Drosophila melanogaster: one gene and its partners. The gene in region 2 interacts genetically with the main gene of each other region. Each region holds a gene or a part of one and is shown on either strand. Other genes may lie near its edges.

Evidence for each region.
Region 1: of orb (region 2) and hrg, changing one enhances a phenotype caused by changing the other (phenotypic enhancement), as found in Drosophila melanogaster (2 studies listed by BioGRID).
Region 3: of orb (region 2) and yps, changing one suppresses a phenotype caused by changing the other (phenotypic suppression), as found in Drosophila melanogaster (2 studies listed by BioGRID).

Annotation. Positions count from the first base shown.
Region 1 is NT_033778.4:19,667,376-19,673,813, reverse strand, and holds the start of hrg (hiiragi), read left to right. Parts: upstream 1-3,981; 5' UTR 3,982-4,567; exon of another isoform or gene 4,568-4,696; intron 4,697-4,745; exon of another isoform or gene 4,746-5,024; intron 5,025-5,335; 5' UTR 5,336-5,460; intron 5,461-5,527; 5' UTR 5,528-5,565; coding exon 5,566-6,286; intron 6,287-6,349; coding exon 6,350-6,438. Other genes in the region: Kpc2 (Kip1 ubiquitination-promoting complex subunit 2), read right to left, coding at 1,005-1,153, 1,217-1,520, 1,573-1,908, 1,964-2,453, 2,519-2,530, 2,665-3,059.
Region 2 is NT_033777.3:23,276,060-23,282,497, reverse strand, and holds the start of orb (oo18 RNA-binding protein), read left to right. Parts: upstream 1-1,641; 5' UTR 1,642-2,067; intron 2,068-2,939; 5' UTR 2,940-3,421; coding exon 3,422-3,439; intron 3,440-6,438. Other genes in the region: Cdc16 (cell division cycle 16), read right to left, coding at 1-141, 201-483, 538-1,048, 1,112-1,207.
Region 3 is NT_037436.4:12,121,855-12,128,292, reverse strand, and holds the start of yps (ypsilon schachtel), read left to right. Parts: upstream 1-3,142; 5' UTR 3,143-3,406; coding exon 3,407-3,581; intron 3,582-4,718; coding exon 4,719-5,456; intron 5,457-5,519; coding exon 5,520-5,617; coding exon of another isoform or gene 5,618-5,629; exon of another isoform or gene 5,630-6,138; coding exon 6,139-6,186; 3' UTR 6,187-6,438. Other genes in the region: CG34241 (uncharacterized protein), read right to left, coding at 1-108, 165-194; Ir68b (ionotropic receptor 68b), read left to right, coding at 899-2,806.

The DNA of each region.
Region 1 (6,438 bases), on a different chromosome or scaffold from region 2:
TTACGAATGAGTACACACCAACTTATCACTGATGATTCATTTTGTTTAAAAGTGTCTGTAAATGTTACTCATCCGCCGTGGTGAACTCAAAGGAGCTTGAGTCATGCGTAGTCAACTTATCTATTTGCTATAAACACAAAGAATCCCCCAATTTTGGGAACTACTGGTTTACTGTTGACTTAAGAAGAAGTCCGACAATAAACACAAAATAACTATTCGCTACACGAGGACGACCGTCATTGAAAACTTTATCCAATCTTACAAACTATATAAAAAGTTACATCTTACACCTTAGTACCGACATAATCTGGATATAAAAGAAACATTAATTCTTTTGTTTTGTATCAAAAACTAATTGATTTATTTGCATTTTGTTAAAACTATGCAAATTTGAATATTTGGTTTACAAAATAATACTTTGAGTTCAAGTTGATGGTTTAAACAACCTGGGATTACAACGCACTTAAATCACCACACGTACGAGCGCTTATAAACTGATGGGTTGTTTCTGTGGGATGCAGTATGTGACATTTTCTAAATGTAGTGCGAGATTCGGCTGAAGATGAGCTAGCAAACTAGATGAATAGAGTAATTATTGTTTAACCTAATACAATTGTAGGATGAAGGCCTGACTAGATATAGATACATTTTATATTTATATATATATATATATATATATATATATGTATGTATGTATATATATGTGTATGTATGTATATATATGTATATGTATGTATAAAATGCAATTCGTACTGATCGGTAAGCGTTTGTAGAGTGCAGCCGCGTGCTCTTGGCGAAGCGATTGCATCTTTTGGCTTTGTGCAGTTTACTTTCATGGTTTTTGGCTACAAAAATACTCTTTACATACGGGCACATACACAATGTATAATTAGAGCCCCAAAATGGACCAAGCTACAGCCATGCACTTCGGGTGTGTGATTGTGTATGTATATGTATAAATATAATTTGGTTAATCTCATAGTAAAGCCACTTAGCGGCATCTTTCACCAGCGGTTCGTATAGAACTGATTGATGCCAAGCACATGCTTCTCCTCATGGTACTTTTGAAGGATATGTGTGATGACCGAGGTTGTGTCGTTGTCGCCACGCCACACGCGTATCGCATGTTCGTTTTCCAGGATGCCCAGAAATGCTGTAAACGTATGTGCAATTAGTTTCGATTTCAACTGTTGCTATCTTAATTAGATGGACATACCCAAAAAAGTCTTTGGATTGCTTAGGGTCATCTGGACTTGTGGCATTTCCAGGATCACCTTTAGGATGGGCGAATCGGGCGCCAAGCCTTCACGCAGTTCAATAACGCTACCCGATCGATTGTCGCACAACCATTCGCACGCGGACGCCTTGTTGTTGCCAGTTTTCTTCAGTGCCGCGAGCACTGCCGTCTCCTCGAAGCCCATTTCTGTAAGCGATTCCACAATCTCATCGCTGGGAGGGGAATCCCGGTGGCTGTAGATTCGTACAATCTCAATCAAGGCAGCAGTGTTTTCAATGGTTTCCTTTAAAAGAAAACGGTTGTCATTAAAAAGCGATAATCTAATTCCTACTTACATTATTGGTGACAATCGTGGAGGGTGAGATGGAAGATAGACTGTGCTGCATATTCATGCCCGGCGGTTCCTGTGGATTTTCCTCGTTTTGGTTCTGTATTAGCCACTCCATCGTGGTCGAGTAAATGCCATTGTGTGCTTTTAAGGCAAATGCGGCTAGCTCCCGCTTGAAGCCCATGTCCACGAGGCATTGCAGCGTATCCGCTTGCTGATTTCGGCGATTGATCAAACGTTGCTTTAGCATAGCTATCAGGCGTGGAGCATAAGGGCCAGCTCCTATAACCGCCGCAGAAGCTTGAGCCAAAGAGATCAACACCTTTCGCACATCGTATTGGATCTGGAAACGGAATAGGATTAGAATAATCAAAGGAGTAGCCAAGAATTGTACTCACATTCGACTGCTGAAAGATTTCATTAATATCGATGGTGGGCAGCTGGTTGCAATTGACGGGCACGTATCGGGTGGCGCTCTCCACCAGCTGCTCATTTGGGCCAGGAACCTCACGTATCCGTGAAACAGTCTGCGGCAGAGTATTGCGTCGTGGGGAGAGTATGAAAGTCTCATTGTTGCGAACTTTTAGCTGGGCCAGCGTGTCGCCCTCGTTAAGCTCGCCGCCGAAGTATTCCGCCCGATAGAGACGGTATCGCGGATTAAGATGCCGCACATCTGGGGCAAATAGCTGGATGGAGTCGGGATCGTCGCTCAGTTCCAGAATCACCTCACTCTTCAGCTCGTTTAGGCGCTTATTAACGTCCGTTTTGAAGATAAGAACCCGAGAGCTGGGGCAGATTACCCGCACCAGGATAGATTCACCTGGCCTGCTGGCATCGTCTGCCTCGCCAGAAGTAGAGCTACCTGGGCGATTTGTATGGGCTGATTTCCTAAGTGGATTCCGTTAAGAATGGACTTAATTAAAAGATTAGCATAATACCTAAGCATTACTAACCTGAGAAACAAACTGCGCAGTTTTTGCATAGTTTGTTTTAGTTGGATGGGTAGTGACAAACCAACGGAGAATTTCGAAAGACAAATATTTGTTTCGGGTGAGCACTTTGAAAAACATAAGCATATTCGTTCGGTTTGATAACTTACGCATTAGCCTGCTGTTGGTGAGTGGGCGTGGGCGAGTCCTGTGGCACCACCTTCTGATGCTCAGCACGTTCCTCTCGTCGCTGCAGCTGTAGCTCAAGGTGAATGCGACGTCGGCGAGCGGGCGATGGAGTCCTTAGGACGCAACTGCCCCCGCCCACAAGGGGCCGCGAATTGGAAGCGGATATCCCGCCATCCGTCTGCGTTTCAGATTCCGCCGTGTGGACATTCAACGAGGATCCGCTCAGGCTCTCCGCATCGCTGGCGTCTGTCCGCTGGCTGTGGCTATGACTGCTGCTCCGAGGGCTTTCGTCAGCCGGAGAACCACCGCTGCGCTTGCTACGCGCCAACCACTTGGCCCGTTTCTCGTTGAACTTCTCCCGCATCCAGGGTATCATCTTGGGTCTGCAGCTAGGTGTTTGTTACATTTTGCGGCACTTTTCGATGGCTATTTTGCATATTTCTCGCAAGTAAACAGAATCGATGCGTTATTGCAAAAAAAAAAAAAACGATTTTTATTTTTGTAAAGTCGATAGCAAGCAGCTGTTTGATGGTGCTGCCAGATAGGCCATATCCATGGGGAATACCCCTAATCTTTATAACGGCTATTTTGACATGAAAAACTATTTTAAAATATGTTATGTGGCTGAACTTTATAAATATATCGTGATATGTACATATATGAAGAAAACTATGTTATTCCTTATCGTTAGCCAATAACAATAACAGGAAAACATTGGGGTTAAATACTTTTGTTACTTTACTGCAATAAATAGTAGTTACCCGAATATAGTAATAGAATTAAAGAATTCATTTTCCAAAAACTATTAGTAATACAATCTAAGTGTCTTAATGGTAAATTGGTACCTGGTTAGACCCGTCATATAAAACCCAAACATACTTGAAATCCCAGTTTGAAATGGGTTTTCAAATTTCAGGTAAGAAAATTGGGTTTTGAATTTACCTACACCAAAGGTGCAAAAAGTGACATCTGTCGCAGATTTCAAATAAGCAGATGGCCAGATTAGGTCCCAACTGTAAAAGAACCAATAGTAAATCCTATGCCCTCAGCTTATTTTACTTAAGGCGGTATCGCTTGCAGATGACTCTCACTTTTATTACTTGCGAAACGAATCTGCTTGATAATGAAATAAAATGGTGCTCATACACATTATATTTAAAACCAATTTGCTAAAAATCATTTAAAAATTCTCACTAAAAATGTCCATTCACAATAGGCATACGTAAGCAGAGAGCATGGAAATCTTCCCATCCCTAGCTACTCCCATTGGCTCATCTCTATGCGCCGCAAGAAACGATAACGATTGCCACAAGCATCCAATCGATTGCCACACATTTTAATTATTGCTAGAACGCGCAGGGGCTTAAAAGTTAGTAAAATATGTTTGCCGCCCACTAAACGCCACAGCGTCGATCCCGTCGTGTTATCAGTGTGCCCCCGTCACCTCCGAAACGAAACAAAAGTGGGCGGAAAGCGTTTGTGTTTGCGTTTTGGCAAGTCGACTACTGGCATTTGTATATCGGTGTGTGCGTGTGCGTCACGTAGCATAAAACGCGAGAGTTTCTGTCCGTTAAGCAGCAGTGGAAGGTGGTGGAACGGGAACGGAAAAAGAAACGAAAAAAGAAATGTGAAGAGTGCGGCAAAAAAGCGAGGAAGACGAACGTGCGAAAAGAGTAAAAGCCGGAGCGACAACAGCACATGAATGGGATACACTCTCCTGCCAAAAGTTCTAACAAACAAACATACATACATACATATGCACCACTCACGAATGCAGCGGACAAACAGCACGACACGCCACACACACACACACCTTCAGATATTGTTTGAAGCGGCGGCACGGGAACAACAAAAACAGGCCAAGAATCTGAAGAATAAGCGCAGGTAAGCAAAAACAAGCAGAGAAAACTTTTCCCCTCGTGTGTGTATGTATACGGCGCGTGCCTGTTTGTGTGGGTGTGCGTGAGTGCGTGCGTGAGAGCACCGTTTACCTGTGTGGGAGGATTGTCGTTGGTGAGAGGGGGGTGGTGCAGGCGCATAAATATTCGCTTTCTTTGTTTATGTTTGTCATTGTCACAATTATTCTGCTACAAGCAACAGCTACGGCAACCCACTCCAACCGCTAATTTATTTGCCAATTTCTTTTACGCATTTGTTTATATGCCCGAAAGGCTATCCAGTGAACCAGTGTGCCCAGCTGCTTTGCGAAATTCATTGTTATGTTTTTTGTATATAACGGCGCTATCAGAAATATCTTATCGCACATTACAATTTGCATTTACTCAGCGCGAAAGTAAATTGTAATTGTCAATTAACTGTTTTGCTACACAGGAAGAAAAGGGTAATTTCAATTTAGTAGTAACTGTTGTATATATGTAGCCCTTATCACGTGATGAATGTGTATCCCACAAATATTTAGTTCAAATATTAGGTGATTCACTTTTTAAAAAACCGCGTCGTCATCAGTTTGGAAACGCCGTACAATAATTCTCACTTTAAGAAACCCTAATATTTCGCAATCCTTATGAGATTATCATAGTCCGAACAAACCTATTCAATTTCAATACGATCCGCTCTTCCTTAAGAATTTTAAAACCAAACCTTAGAGTAATGCTTTAGATGTCATACTAAATGTATTATTTTCTTTTCCAGCATTTTATTAAGCGCAGTTTCTTAAACAGAGCCACAAGAGGAGGTGTCGCATATATATGATTCCATTTTGTCTTCTTGGAGAGCAAACTTAAATATAATACCACATACATTTTAAGCCTAGATAGGTGAGTAAATCGAATATAGCGATTCCGAAAGGATCAGATAATAACCGTTTAAAATTTCAATTTTCAGGACATAACTTTAAGCTGAAACGAAGGCAGACAGACAACATGTGGAATTCCGAACCAACACATCGCCAGCACCATCAGCACAATGGAAATTCTACCTCGGGCGGACCGCCCGCCAAGCAATTGGGCATGACCTCGGCTATCAGTCTGGCCGAGCCACGGCCTGAGGATCTCCAGCGCACTGATGAGCTCCGCGGCTCACTGGAGCCGTACAACGTCTTTGAGAGCCAGGACGAGCTAAATCACCGTATGGAGATCCTGGCCAAGCTCAACACACTGGTCAAGCAGTGGGTCAAGGAAATCTCTGTCAGCAAGAACATGCCAGAGTCAGCCGCCGAGAAGCTTGGCGGCAAGATCTACACATTCGGCTCGTATCGATTGGGTGTCCATCACAAGGGTGCCGATATAGATGCCTTATGTGTTGCTCCGCGAAATATTGAGCGCACCGACTACTTTCAGAGCTTCTTTGAGGTGCTCAAGAAGCAGCCAGAGGTAACCGAGTGCCGCTCGGTGGAAGAGGCCTTTGTGCCCGTCATCAAAATGAACTTTGATGGCATCGAAATTGATTTGCTGTTTGCCCGTCTGTCCCTAAAAGAAATTCCTGATGACTTTGATCTACGGGATGATAACTTACTGCGGAATCTGGATCACCGTTCGGTGCGCAGCCTCAACGGCTGTCGTGTGACGGACGAGATCCTGGCCCTGGTGCCCAATATTGAAAATTTCCGCCTGGCACTGCGCACTATCAAATTGTGGGCAAAGAGTACGTGTTATTATATAAAATTCTTATAAATTAAATTCTAATTGTTCTCATTTTCTCTCTTAGAGCACGGAATCTACTCAAATTCATTGGGTTATTTCGGTGGTGTGACCTGGGCCATGTTAGTGGCCAGAACCTGTCAGCTGTATCCCAAC
Region 2 (6,438 bases):
AATGTGTCCGTGTCATGATCACGCGATCGCCTCCTACTGGATGAGTCAAACATGGACCGGTGAGAAGCATCAATGAGGGAAGAAGCCTTTGAGAGACTAGTTTGTAGGGAAAATGTGGGCGCCTTTAGATCTTCCAGGACTCTTAAAGATACAACTTCAATAAGAATGCGCTAAATATTAGAAATATCAGGAGAACTGACTTCTGTGCGGGCGACATGAACTGGCTGGGCGTAAGCGGCACCTTGACGGCGCTCACCTTGGGCATTTGTGTGTCTGACGACCCGCTCTGCTGCACTCGAGCTGTAAATTCCTTGATAAACTGGAGTATGTCAGGATTAACAATGGGGGACATCTCCTCAGCATTGCGTGCGGAAATCAACTCGTAGTACTTCTTCAGGCGAGATTCATAAAGTTTTAGTATAAACTTGGCATCAGCTTCGCTGGATTGTTGTGCCAGCGGTAAATGATGCATTAGCTCAAACTCTGCAATGATTAAGTTGAGATTATACTGTATTCAGAAAGTAGGTGCATGCTCACCTTCCCAAGCCATCAGCATTTCGTGTTGAACCAGCGCCTCCAGGGCCTCAAAGCAGTATATGGATTTGTGAAGGGCCTGAACATAGAAGTCCATTGCCATGCCGCGATTGTCCAGGGCCTCATAAACTTTGCCCTTCATTAGGTAAATGGATGAGAGCAGTTCATTTCTGTGATTCTCCTCGCCACCAAAGACACTGTTGCTTTCCAGATAGCAGCCACTGCTTGCATCAACGGGCTGGTTGATCAGCGATGTGGTCATGACTTCCACCTCCACATTCTGGATGACATTGGCCGCCTCGGTAAACTCCTTGGCCGCATAGAGACTTTCCAGTAGTAGGTTAAAACATGGCAGTGAATTCTTCTCTAGCTTGTGATGCTGTATTGTGTGAGCAGCACGATGGTATTCCCCCAGTAGGTACATGCACTGCGCCTGGTAGTAAATATCCCTGGGTTCCAGGCCACCAAGCACGGCCACCTTTTCTGCCCAAAAAAGCGCTGTGGAGTAGCGACGCTAAAAATGCAATTGAATTTGCACTCAGGCTCTGCTTGCCGGCTTTTGGTTTTTTTGTCTTACCATGTCTATGAATTGTTTGACCAGCTGCCGGTACAAGGCCAGGTCGATGTGTTCATTGGTGGTGTCAGTGCTTGTGTTTTCCGTGTCCCCGGGCATTTTTATTAACGCAGAATTGTATTTTTGTTATAAATTTGATACAAGTTTTCCGCCGCTGGTAATAACTCATTTGAACATAGTGGCAACTCTGTGCAAAACAGCTGTATTGTTGCCATTCACTGGAAACAGTTGTTTACGCCAGTGAAAAAAATTTGGTTGCTGTTAATGCTTTACCAATAAGTAATAAAATTAATGGAAATATAAAAATTATTTTAAAACCAAAACTTTAAATGAAAATACAAATTAAATAAATTATTTAAATAGTTCAGCCATTTGTGCGAATTTTAATGACTGTTTCTTTTTTTGTCGAGGAATCGTCGAACACAAGTTGTTTCAAACAAATGAGCGCTTTTAAGTTCAAGAGAGCGGTTGCATGCGGTTGGTTCGACAGAGCCAGGCGAAAAAGGTTATTTAAGCAGCGTTGCACGCCGTGGCGTGGCCATAATATCAAAAAATCCCGACTAAAATTCCAAAATAAAAGATATCACGGGATGATAATTTAGTTTGTTCTATTAATTTGTATTGCCGCGGCAGGGTCCGCTCAAATTTAAGGCTCAATTTTAAATTCGAGTTAATGTGGTGCCATACCACAGTCGCAAAGATTTTCAACAATCAAAATAGTTTAATAGTAAAAAATGCGTCCGTGAGTGAGTAGTTTGGCGAAACAGCATCGGAAGGAGAAACGGAAAACGGCGAAGGGCGTGCAAAGCAGAAGTAACGGTTCCTGGCGGCGTGTGTGCGAGTGTGTGTAAAAATGTGCTTGGTGGACGACAAAAGAAACGGGATGCGATTGCAAGTGCGGAATTAAAATAAAATTCACACGAATTTATGCGCCATCCGCGTGTTTTTGCGAGTCCTGGGTATGTATTGGTGTATCAGTGTTAGCCGGCACTAGAAATTGTTGACCGAAAAATGGTGCAGTTCAAATTAGTTGGTAACAAGAAGGTGAAGAAAAACAGGGCAGCGGCTCATTTTTCGTTCTCTCATTCTCGACGTGCGTATTTTACAACTTTACAACTACACACTACTATTATGTGCCGTTGGTCCTGTTTTTTTTTCTGTTGCCTTTGGCTCACGTCATCTCTCCAAAAACTACGGCAATCAATCGCCGCCTTGGCCACACAGAGGAAATGAAGCTGGAATTGCGCGGGGTCTTAATTCGTTAATAAAATGTAAGGTGTGCACAATAATAGATTTTTGGATTGTCCGGTATCAATTGAAAAGAAATATGAATAACAGTGCAATTCATGAAAGTATAGCAATTTTTCTTTCTGTGTGCACACTTATTCTTACTACCCATTATTCTACGCACAGAGCGCGAGAGTGAGATGGAGAGAGTAGAGAAAGGGCGAGACAGGGCTTGGCCCCATCTCCATCTCCATTTTACAACTCCAACTTCGCTGCCACTGCTCATTTCATGCTGATTTATGGCTCTAATAATAGGTTCGCTCAACACACAGCTTCCGAAAGGATTACCACCCGAAAGGATAATGCATAGTTTGTGTTATTGGCGGCCATAAAAGCCCCCTTTAAAGTAAACGACCCTGGATTACAGTTAATTACAGTTAGCCGGGACAGTGTCATAGAGAGTAGGAGAGAGAGGGATACGCCTTGATCGATTTACGGCATTTAACGCTCAAGTGCGTACGCGTGTGTTTTCTTTAAACTCCACTGATTTGGAAACTACAAAGAAGAGTACTCTTATAATTAATTCATGCTTATGATATTTCAGGCCTTTGGAAATTTGCATCGTTGACGAGGCGGAATGAATCGATGACTATTTGCTGCTGATACGGCCACATCTGCCAGCTGTCTTGGTTCGCCTTCGCCCCTCTCGCTCGCTCAGTCGCGTTATCCTGTGGAGCTCCAATAAACAACAACAAAAACCAGATTCCTTGCCCGAGGCTCGGCATCCAATTCAAACTCCAACCAGATCCAACACGAACTTGGACTCGAACCGCAGCGAACTCCAACCGAAAGGCCTGCGCAGGAGTGAAAGAGAGAGGGCGAGAGAGACGGTGCGCGAACGGGCTCTCCGCCGGCAGTGGGAGTGGGAAAGGGAAGGTACGAGAGGCGGAAGTGGTGACATCTGTTTTGCCGCTTTGTCAGTTGGCGGATGCTGCTCCTGCCGAACACGAACGAACGCGAACGAGCACGAACGAACAAGGAGCGCAACGTGAACAAGTGTGGAAATTGGAATTTTTATTCAAAACAATGCCCCTGCTGCAACAGGTATGTAAATAATAATAAAACCCATTCGCACTCCAGAGCGGTAATTGAAACGCTCACGTACGAATAAAGTCGGCTAGAGAGAAAGAGGGAGAGAGAGAACGACCGAGCGAGTGAGAGAGCTCTACATCAGCTGGCTTTTTCAGTTCATCTTCCCAATTGGGATTCGTGAGTGGCTGGCCCGGGATGATCCTAATAAGATTAGTGCCCAACTTTACGCCTACACTTCTGAGAGTTTTTCAAACCACCCCACCACCCACTGAAACAGCCCCATCCGCCAACGTCTGTTGCACATTATGAGTAGTTAAATTCGATTAAACTTGCGGCGTTTTCTGCGCCAGACACCACTGCGCCTCCTTTTCGTCCTTTTTGCCGCCGGGTGGGCTTTTAATTGTACTCTTTGTTGCGCAAAATAGTTGCGTGATTTAATTTTGCTCGCCTTTATATGTTTTTTAATTCACTTAAATGAGATGATTCGATTAGGACACTGAGCGGTACAGAAAAAGCGCAGAGAGCAAATGGAAGCATTGGAATAGCGGATAAAAAACAGAGCTAAAGTTGTTGGGCACGCTTTACAACTGCCATTAGTATCCAGATTTTTATGTCTTTAAAGATTCGTAAAAGTTTGTCTAATAATCTTAAAACTCCAGTGACAGTACAAGCAGACAGCTATTAGCCTCTTATGGCTCAAAATATTACATGTCCCTTCCTGAGTTTTTCTTTATCCTCTGGAAAATTAATTATCCTGCCTGACAATCCGCTTCATATCAATACACATCAAAATTATGTCAGTTGCGGCAATTGCCCTTCACCCCCAAATGTGAATTACATGTAATGATTACAATATCCTTTATGCTGATACGCACATGCTAACCAACCCGACGACTCGGCTCATGCCCCCGCCGACCCCAGACTTGATTTAAGCGATCCTAAAGCGACTGTCAATATGTGTGACAGGTTTTTTAAGACGCTTTCCCTCCTCGGCGGAGCACTTGGTCCCATTGTTGGCTACGCGGCCCGTTTGTATCCTTGCCACGTCTTCCGCCTTTGGAAAAAGTTGCTCATTGTCGACTGTGACAGGAGACCCGGACCCGTCTATTGCTCATCATTCAGGCATTTGACGACAGACGACGCACAGGGGTTGAGGAAAAGCCGCCTTGACTACGTCAATGGATTGGGGATGGCTTTCAAAGAGGCGGAGATGGAAACAGAGGTGGAGGATGAAGGATGGAGGTTGGTTCTGTGCTGCATCCATGGCCCGAGTTGGCTGACAATGGAGCTGCGCATTTGTTACAATGTTTACACAAATATTTAAGGATAATCCGACGATTTCAAAGGGGTTATTATGCAATTTTTCTTCTCATTTTATTGTGGCTGCCAGCGGCGGCAGCAAAATGGTAGAAAAAAAAGATCAAAATATAGACCCAACTGAATAACTAAATGCAAAATGTCAATTTCGTCGTGTAAGCAGTGTCTATACCCCCCCCCCCCTTCCCTTGCCGTATTGCTATACATTCATATTTATTTGCTGGTAATGTCTAAAATGCGTCTACTTCTTGCCAACGTGGCGTGTTCTTAATGTCCTGCTTTCCGTATTATTTATATTTTTTGCACTCATTTCCATTGCGGCATTGCCTGCTGTTTAAAATGCCTATAAATAATGGTGGGGGCCACAGCGGAAAATTTGTCGGTCATAAGAAATGCTGTACATTTTATTTGCCATTTTAAGCCGTAGGATGTGTGATGTCATGCTCTGCAAAAGTCCATATCCTGCTGTAACATCGTTTCGTACAAAATTTTCCTTTATTGTCCTTGCACCAACGTCTTGGTTCACTGTCCAAGTGCAGGTCAGTCCATATCAATGACACCGGGATTTTGTGTAGCAATATGTCTGGCATTAAAACTTGCCAACATTACTGTATTGTGCATAATTAATCATAGAACCTTACTATTAAATTAGATCTATGCTCGTGGGGGTAAACTATGCTTAAAGCAAACTAAACTATCTGCTTTACCTGTTGATTACACACGCCCATAAATATTACACTAATAGTATAATTAAGTGAATGCTTGGCCGTTTTCCCTAAACGACTGCCTGCAATTGCCAGTTATTAGCCGGCTCAAATTTGATTGCCAGCGGGCAAATCATTGGCATTATTCAAACCCAAACTCGAGTGAATGCTCAAGAGAGGGCGGCAATCATTTCGAGCAAATCATTGTGCTGGGCGATGGTGTGGCATTAACAGTTGGTTATGTACACTTAAGTATATGCCGCAGGCCAACTTGGTATGTCCAGGCCGCCATAGCCTGCCATTTTCACTCCCACTACCCAATAGTACGGCTCCAGCTTCTGGTTCTGGTTCTGATCCTTGGCAGACTATTGGAATGTCTCGACATTTCGCGCAAATGCCAAAAGTACAAGGCGGCCAAGGCGTCCTCCAACAATGCGGTGGCAGCAGCCCCAGGGCACATCATTAAAATGTCGATACCAAGCAAATCACACGCCCGCCGCCAGCGAGAAGGATAACAACCAAGAAAATATCAACCAGGGTGCGTTGCGTTTGTTGCACTGCCGCGTTTTGTGGATTGGGTAGTGGTGCTTGGTATTAGGGCGTAGCCCATTGCAATATGAGCCTGTGGCATTTAACAAAAATGAGAAAGGAATAATACAAAAAAAAAAAATAAATAAAAGAAGAGTGCGGAAAATGGGAGAAAAAATGGAAAACTGAAAACAGAAAACGAGTGCAAAATTCAATTGAATTTACTTCGCCAGACGTTGCACACACTACTGGGCTCAACTAGCATTTAATGCATTGGCAGTGGTGCGGCATGCGTGATTGTGATGCGGCACCGCCGACACCGCCCATCGTCCGACGACACCCACTCACCCCTTTGTGACCCCCTGAACTCCGGCTGATGCACACCATTATTGTGGTTGAGCGGATGACGAAAGGTGGCCTGGTCGAGAGGGTATCAGGCCTTTTGGCCAATGGAATGAGCCC
Region 3 (6,438 bases), on a different chromosome or scaffold from region 2:
CTGCCCCGGATGTTCCGCTCGTTGGTTTTGGCAGGAGACTCTCGGTTCCGGGGATCTGTAGAACTCCGTGTTCCTTCGGCGCGGATACATCTCACAGGTGGTCAGGATCTACAGAAAAGCACGGAGATAAATTTGAAAGACCAAAAGAGAAATGAAATACTTACGGGCTGATTTGAAGACGTACCCCTATCCATGGTTAAAAAACTTTTATATTCGAAATAAACAAATTTTGAAAATTTAGAAATTTTTCAATGATTTTGTCCGGTTACTCGAAAGATATGAAAAGAAACCTAACCGAAACGGGTGAAAATAGTTTATGAAAACCCGAAACCATAATCATGGCATACTTTTTTTTAGATTTGCGTTTCAAGTTTTGAAATTGGTATTGGTATATCTTGAAATATATATTTTTATATTATTCAGACTTCGAGAACATATGAGTCTCGTCTATTCAAGGTGATCACATTGCTGCGTCATTCGCAAAGTCTTCAAAATATGATTCATCCGATTTAGAATAAACAACACCTTATCATTAGAAGTATACATTAATGCAAAATGTTGTTCAAATGTTTAGTTGCTAATCAAAAGAAAATGATTTCTTTTATAAATGCATAATCTTATTGCTTTTTAGAAACTCAAATAAAAAAAAACCCATTTTATTGCAAACCTTCCGTTTACTTTCATTCATTTTCTGTAATGTCCTTTTATTCCTTTTATAATTATTTTGTAGAAATCAAGTTTTGATAACTTTTTTCAAGTTACCCCAAAAATATTAGCCAACTAATGAACTGCTCACGCATCGCTTTTCCTAATTGGGAATTACGGCTCCCATGGGAAATCCTCTACAGGTGTTGTGTTCACCCAAAGGATATTTCACTGGTTAGTCTGCTCGTAGAACATGAAGTTTTTGGTTGGATTGCTGCTCCAATGGTATCTTCCTGGCATTTATGCCCTTGCCGAGATTGCCTGTCGCATAGCCGTAGAGCAGAATGTCCAGGTGACCTATCTGTACCGCTGTGCCAGCTGCCCGGCATCCTTCGATGCGGATTACTCTGCCTTGGAATTGGATCTCTATCGGTGTGTGGGCAGTAGACTGCCCGTAATCACACGGAACATGGAAGCACATGAGCTGGAACCATTTAGACGAACGGACAGCCTAAGCATCTTTCAAATTCCGGCTGCCGAAAAGGGTGATTCCTTGGTACGCCGCATCCTGGACATGTTGAATCCTCACCAGAGGCGCAAGCATATGCACAAGTATCTGTTTGTTTGGCCAAATGCCGGAAGGCATCAGTTACTGCGACTTTTTCGCGGCAGTTGGGCCAAGAAGCTGCTCTACGGATTGGCCATTACCGGCAGGGAAAATGGCACCTTTGACTTTGATCCCTTTGCTTGGGGTGGTCTCCAAGTGATTCAGCGGCTGGATGGCGAAGTGCCGTACGCAAGAAAGGTGAAGGACTTGCGCGGCTACCCATTGCGTTTCTCCATGTTTACGGATCCGTTGATGGCGATGCCCAGGAGTCCTGTGGAGACAGCTGGCTATCAGGCAGTGGATGGAGTGGCGGCCCGAGTTGTTGGCGAGATGTTGAATGCCTCAGTAACATATGTCTTCCCGGAGGATAACGAATCCTACGGTCGTTGCCTTCCGAATGGAAACTACACCGGCGTGGTCAGCGACATAGTCGGTGGTCACACCCACTTTGCACCCAATTCCCGCTTCGTGCTCGACTGCATTTGGCCAGCGGTTGAGGTGCTGTATCCCTATACCCGTCGCAACCTGCACCTGGTCGTGCCCGCCTCCGCAATCCAGCCGGAGTACCTGATCTTCGTGCGTGTCTTTCGGCGAACTGTGTGGTACTTGCTCTTGGTCACCCTTTTGGTTGTGGTGCTGGTCTTCTGGGTGATGCAACGTCTGCAGCGAAGAATTCCCCGTCGCGGAGTCATCCAGTTTCAGGCAACGTGGTATGAGATTCTCGAGATGTTCGGCAAGACACATGTGGGTGAACCGGCGGGCAGGCTATCCTCCTTCAGCTCGATGAGAACGTTCCTCATGGGTTGGATCCTCTTCAGCTACGTCCTGTCCACCATCTACTTTGCCAAACTGGAGTCCGGATTTGTGCGACCAAGCTACGAGGAGCAGGTGGACCGAGTGGACGATTTGGTACATTTGGATGTGCACATTTATGCGGTGACCACGATGTATGACGCAGTTAGGAGCGCCCTGACGGAGCACCAATACGGTCTGCTGGAGAACCGTAGTCGCCAGCTGCCACTGGGAATAGCCACATCCTATTACCAGCCGGTGGTCCGGCGCAGGGATCGACGAGCGGCCTTTATCATGCGGGATTTTCACGCCCGTGACTTTCTGGCCATCACCTATGACTCGCAGGCAGAGCGACCAGCCTACCACATCGCCCGGGAATATCTGCGCTCTATGATATGCACCTACATCCTACCAAGAGGATCGCCCTTTCTGCACCGCTTGGAATCTCTGTACAGTGGCTTCCTCGAGCACGGCTTCTTTGAGCACTGGCGTCAAATGGATCTGATCACCCGGGTTGGTGCGTCGCCGGATGCTGAGGAGTTTCTCGAGGATCTGGGCGACCAGACGGACACGGATTCCGGCTCCAACGAGTTGGCGATTCGTAACAAAAAGGTGGTTCTCACTCTGGACATCCTGCAGGGCGCCTTCTATCTCTGGTCCGTGGGGATTGGCATAAGCTGCTTGGGATTTGCAGTGGAGCACGCTCATTGGTTTTGGCGGAGACAGACACTTCGGAATGCGGTTGAAGCTAGAACAAGCTAACTAAAAATATTAAAAATTACTAAATAAAAGGTACATATATGTTTGTTATTGTAAATACTATACTAAGTTTTCAATAAATTTCACCGCTGTTTAGTTGGACATGTTGTTTTATACATTTTAATGATAAAACTGTAGTTTTATATTATTCTAACCATTTAATGAATTTAACCATTTATTCCAATTAACCTTTCTTGTAAATTTAAATGTAACGGCTTTTTATGTTGTTATGGCTTAACATTCCGCGCGTAACAGCACACTGGAGACCCCCAGTATCAGAGCATCGATAGCACCCATCGATAGTCCGATCACCAGCAACCCTGCCTCCGGCTGTCATGTTTCACTTCCGGAGCTTGCGAACAAAATAGAATCGCTAAGGCAAAGAAAACCCTGCGAGTGGCGAGTGTTTTAAGATCACACTCAAAAACAACATCCAAAGTGGTTAGTGGCAGTTGAGAGAGTGCCCAAGACCCCGAATACCAGCCGGGCAGACACGAACAACACCAGCAGCAGCAGCACCACCATCATCAACAGCAGCAGCAGCATTTCCCGCTTTTCGTTTTCGTCGTCGCCGAACAACAAATAACAAAACCACGACAAACGATGGCTGATGCCGCGGAGAGTAAGCCACTGGCCGCCGAACAGCAGCAGGCGCAGCAGCAGCCGGAGCAGCAGCAGAATCCGCCGAATCCGCAGGAGCAGGATCACGAGCAGGAGCCGCTGGACGAGCTGCAGGGACAGCAGGGCCAGCCCGCTCCGCCCACCAAGGAAGTCATCGGTAAGGCTGAAACTCGCATGTTAAACCCAATTCCCAACCAATTTCATTCATGTGCCGCGAACACATGGCGGCTGCTACCAAAATAGCAATGAAAAAAAGGAGGAAAAAAGAACAAGAAACATGCCTCCCTGTATGCGTGTGTGTGTGTGTGTTTTGAGTCTTAAAATATACGCGCGTCGGCCATTTTGTGCGGCCAAAGGCAACGCAACGCATGTATATATGTATGTGCACGAACGCTCGCGCCGCCGGCTAACCAAATTGAAAATTCTGCCTTTTGCCGGTCGTCTGTCTTTCCACCCACCCAACCACCAACCCCACCCGCTTCGCCTCTTTAAAAAATGCCCCCCCATAGGTGTACACACACACACACATACACACATGCAGAGCGAGCCAGGGCAACCCAATTTGTTAATGCGCGCGCAGCGGGAGTGCGAACGAGAGGGCAGACAGCCGGGTGTGGATGTGTGTGTTCATTGTTTTGGTACATCTATTTGCACACACACACTAAAACGCATGGAAGCATGGCTATAAGGCGATTTCAAAACACGAGACCATAATGCAACCAATAAGATACAATAATATTCGGCGACTATTACAATATATTGCCAAATAATTTGGGATGCCACTATATTTTCGCGTAAATCAACATATTATATGCATACTTATATGGTTTATTCGAAATTTTGGTAACCATAGTTTTAAATAATTGTTAACCAATAATTTGTGGTTATAAAACGTCTTTCAATGTTATTGCACGCTTCAATGAGTTTTCAAACTGCGTATTAGTTTAGTTTCAGATGTATTGCGTTTTGCCCCTCCTTTATAATAAAAAAAAAATGCAAAGTATTATCTCAAAACTACCCCTTTTGTATAATTTAAGTTTCTTATGTAGAATTATTTGTATTTTAGAAGTCAGCTCGCTGTGCATCCCTACTGTTCCCTAATATTTTTGTTGCATGTATAATGTTTAAAGGATTATAATATTTGATAAAGGAATGATTGCAACTGATCCCAAACAAGTATTATACCATTGAAATCAATTAAATGATCACACGTTTGTAGAATAAGTACCGCCAAAAATATTGAATCCCACTATTATCCCCAATTGTTTATAATTTCTACTCTTTCCCATTGCAGCCACCAAAGTCACCGGCACCGTCAAGTGGTTCAACGTGAAGAGCGGCTACGGCTTCATCAACCGCAACGACACCAGAGAGGATGTCTTTGTGCACCAGAGCGCCATTGCGCGGAACAACCCCAAAAAGGCGGTCCGCTCGGTGGGCGACGGTGAGGTCGTTGAGTTCGACGTGGTCATTGGTGAGAAGGGCAACGAGGCGGCCAACGTGACCGGTCCCTCCGGTGAGCCGGTGCGGGGCAGTCAGTTTGCAGCGGACAAGCGCCGTAACTTCCGTCCCTGGATGAAGAAGAATCGCCGCAAGGATGGCGAAGTGGAAGGCGAAGACGCCGAATCGTCGGCCCAGCAGCAACAGCAGCAGGCGGCACCAATCGTTGACGGGCAGCCGCAGCAGCAGGTGCAGTCCGGCCCGCGTCAACCACGACAGAACTTCCGCCGAGGACCACCCGGTGGACCGCCCGGAGGACCTCGAGGTGGCCCCCGAGGACCGCCTGGTGGAGCTCCCGGTGGCCCCCGGCGCTACAACAACTATTATCTGCGTCAGCCGAGACGCGGCCTGGGCGGCGGTGACGGCAGCGCCGAGCCCGGTGTCCACGATCAGAATCCCGAGGGTCTGCAGCGCGGCGAGGGTCAGGGACCACGTCGCGGTGGAGGCCCACCGGGCGGACCCCAGAGGCGCTTCTTCCGACGCAACTTCAACAATGGTCCACCGCCACCACGCCGCGACGGCGGAGAATACAGTGAGTGAACTTTGTGCTATTAGATAATTGGTATATATTATTATTAATATTATTCTGTTGCAGTTCAAGGCCAGGGACCGCCACGCCCACAACAGCCACGTCCACGTCGCCAGAGGAAACCAAATGGCCCTGGCGGTGGTTCGGAGCAGCAGCCAGAGAAGGTAATGAACTAATCACCAGCATCATCACAACAGCAGAAACAACTGAAACATCTTCGCCGAAACAAACCTACGATAACAACATCTAAATTAGTAAACATCAGCAACAGTCAGTCGCAAGCATAACAACAAGGTCTACAATAATAACATGGTGAAGGCGTCTTAAAAACTAAACAACTAACTAAAGTGCATTGTGTAGATGCATTCGTAAATAACCACTAACAACCAGAGCAGCCACACGCACCGACACCAAAAGCAGAGAAACAGCGATAAAGCGGAGAAACCACCCTAACATTTAACACTTTACACTTAACTTGGAGGCTTTGGGTCTAACATAACATTCTAATACATTTAGTTTTTAGTTACCTAACCTGTGACTAATTGGCTAACAAGCAACACACACACACTTAATTTACAACCGAAACCAGCATTTTGCTTTCATCCCTTCGATTTATTTTTGAAGTTGTACTTACGTTAATGATTTCTACCCCCCTCGCCATGTTTTCCCATGTTCAAATTCCTAGAACGGCGCTCAAGAGCTGCAAAATACAACCACAGAGAGCACTGCATAGAAAAGGATCCGAAAGGATCTAAATCGTCAACCGACAAACAAAAACATCGTCAGCAGTAGCCGCAGTATATAACTACAATCGCAGAAAAACAGCAGCAGCAGCCCATCCTCAACATCAGCGACCAATGCAACATCATGGTGCAATAAGATCAGCAAATGTTGCAGCAAATTTTGCTAAATGAGCCGCCGCGTTTTTTCGGTTTGTTTGCTTTTTGTTTAGTTTCGTAGGGCAGAGAATCAATTGTACAACTCA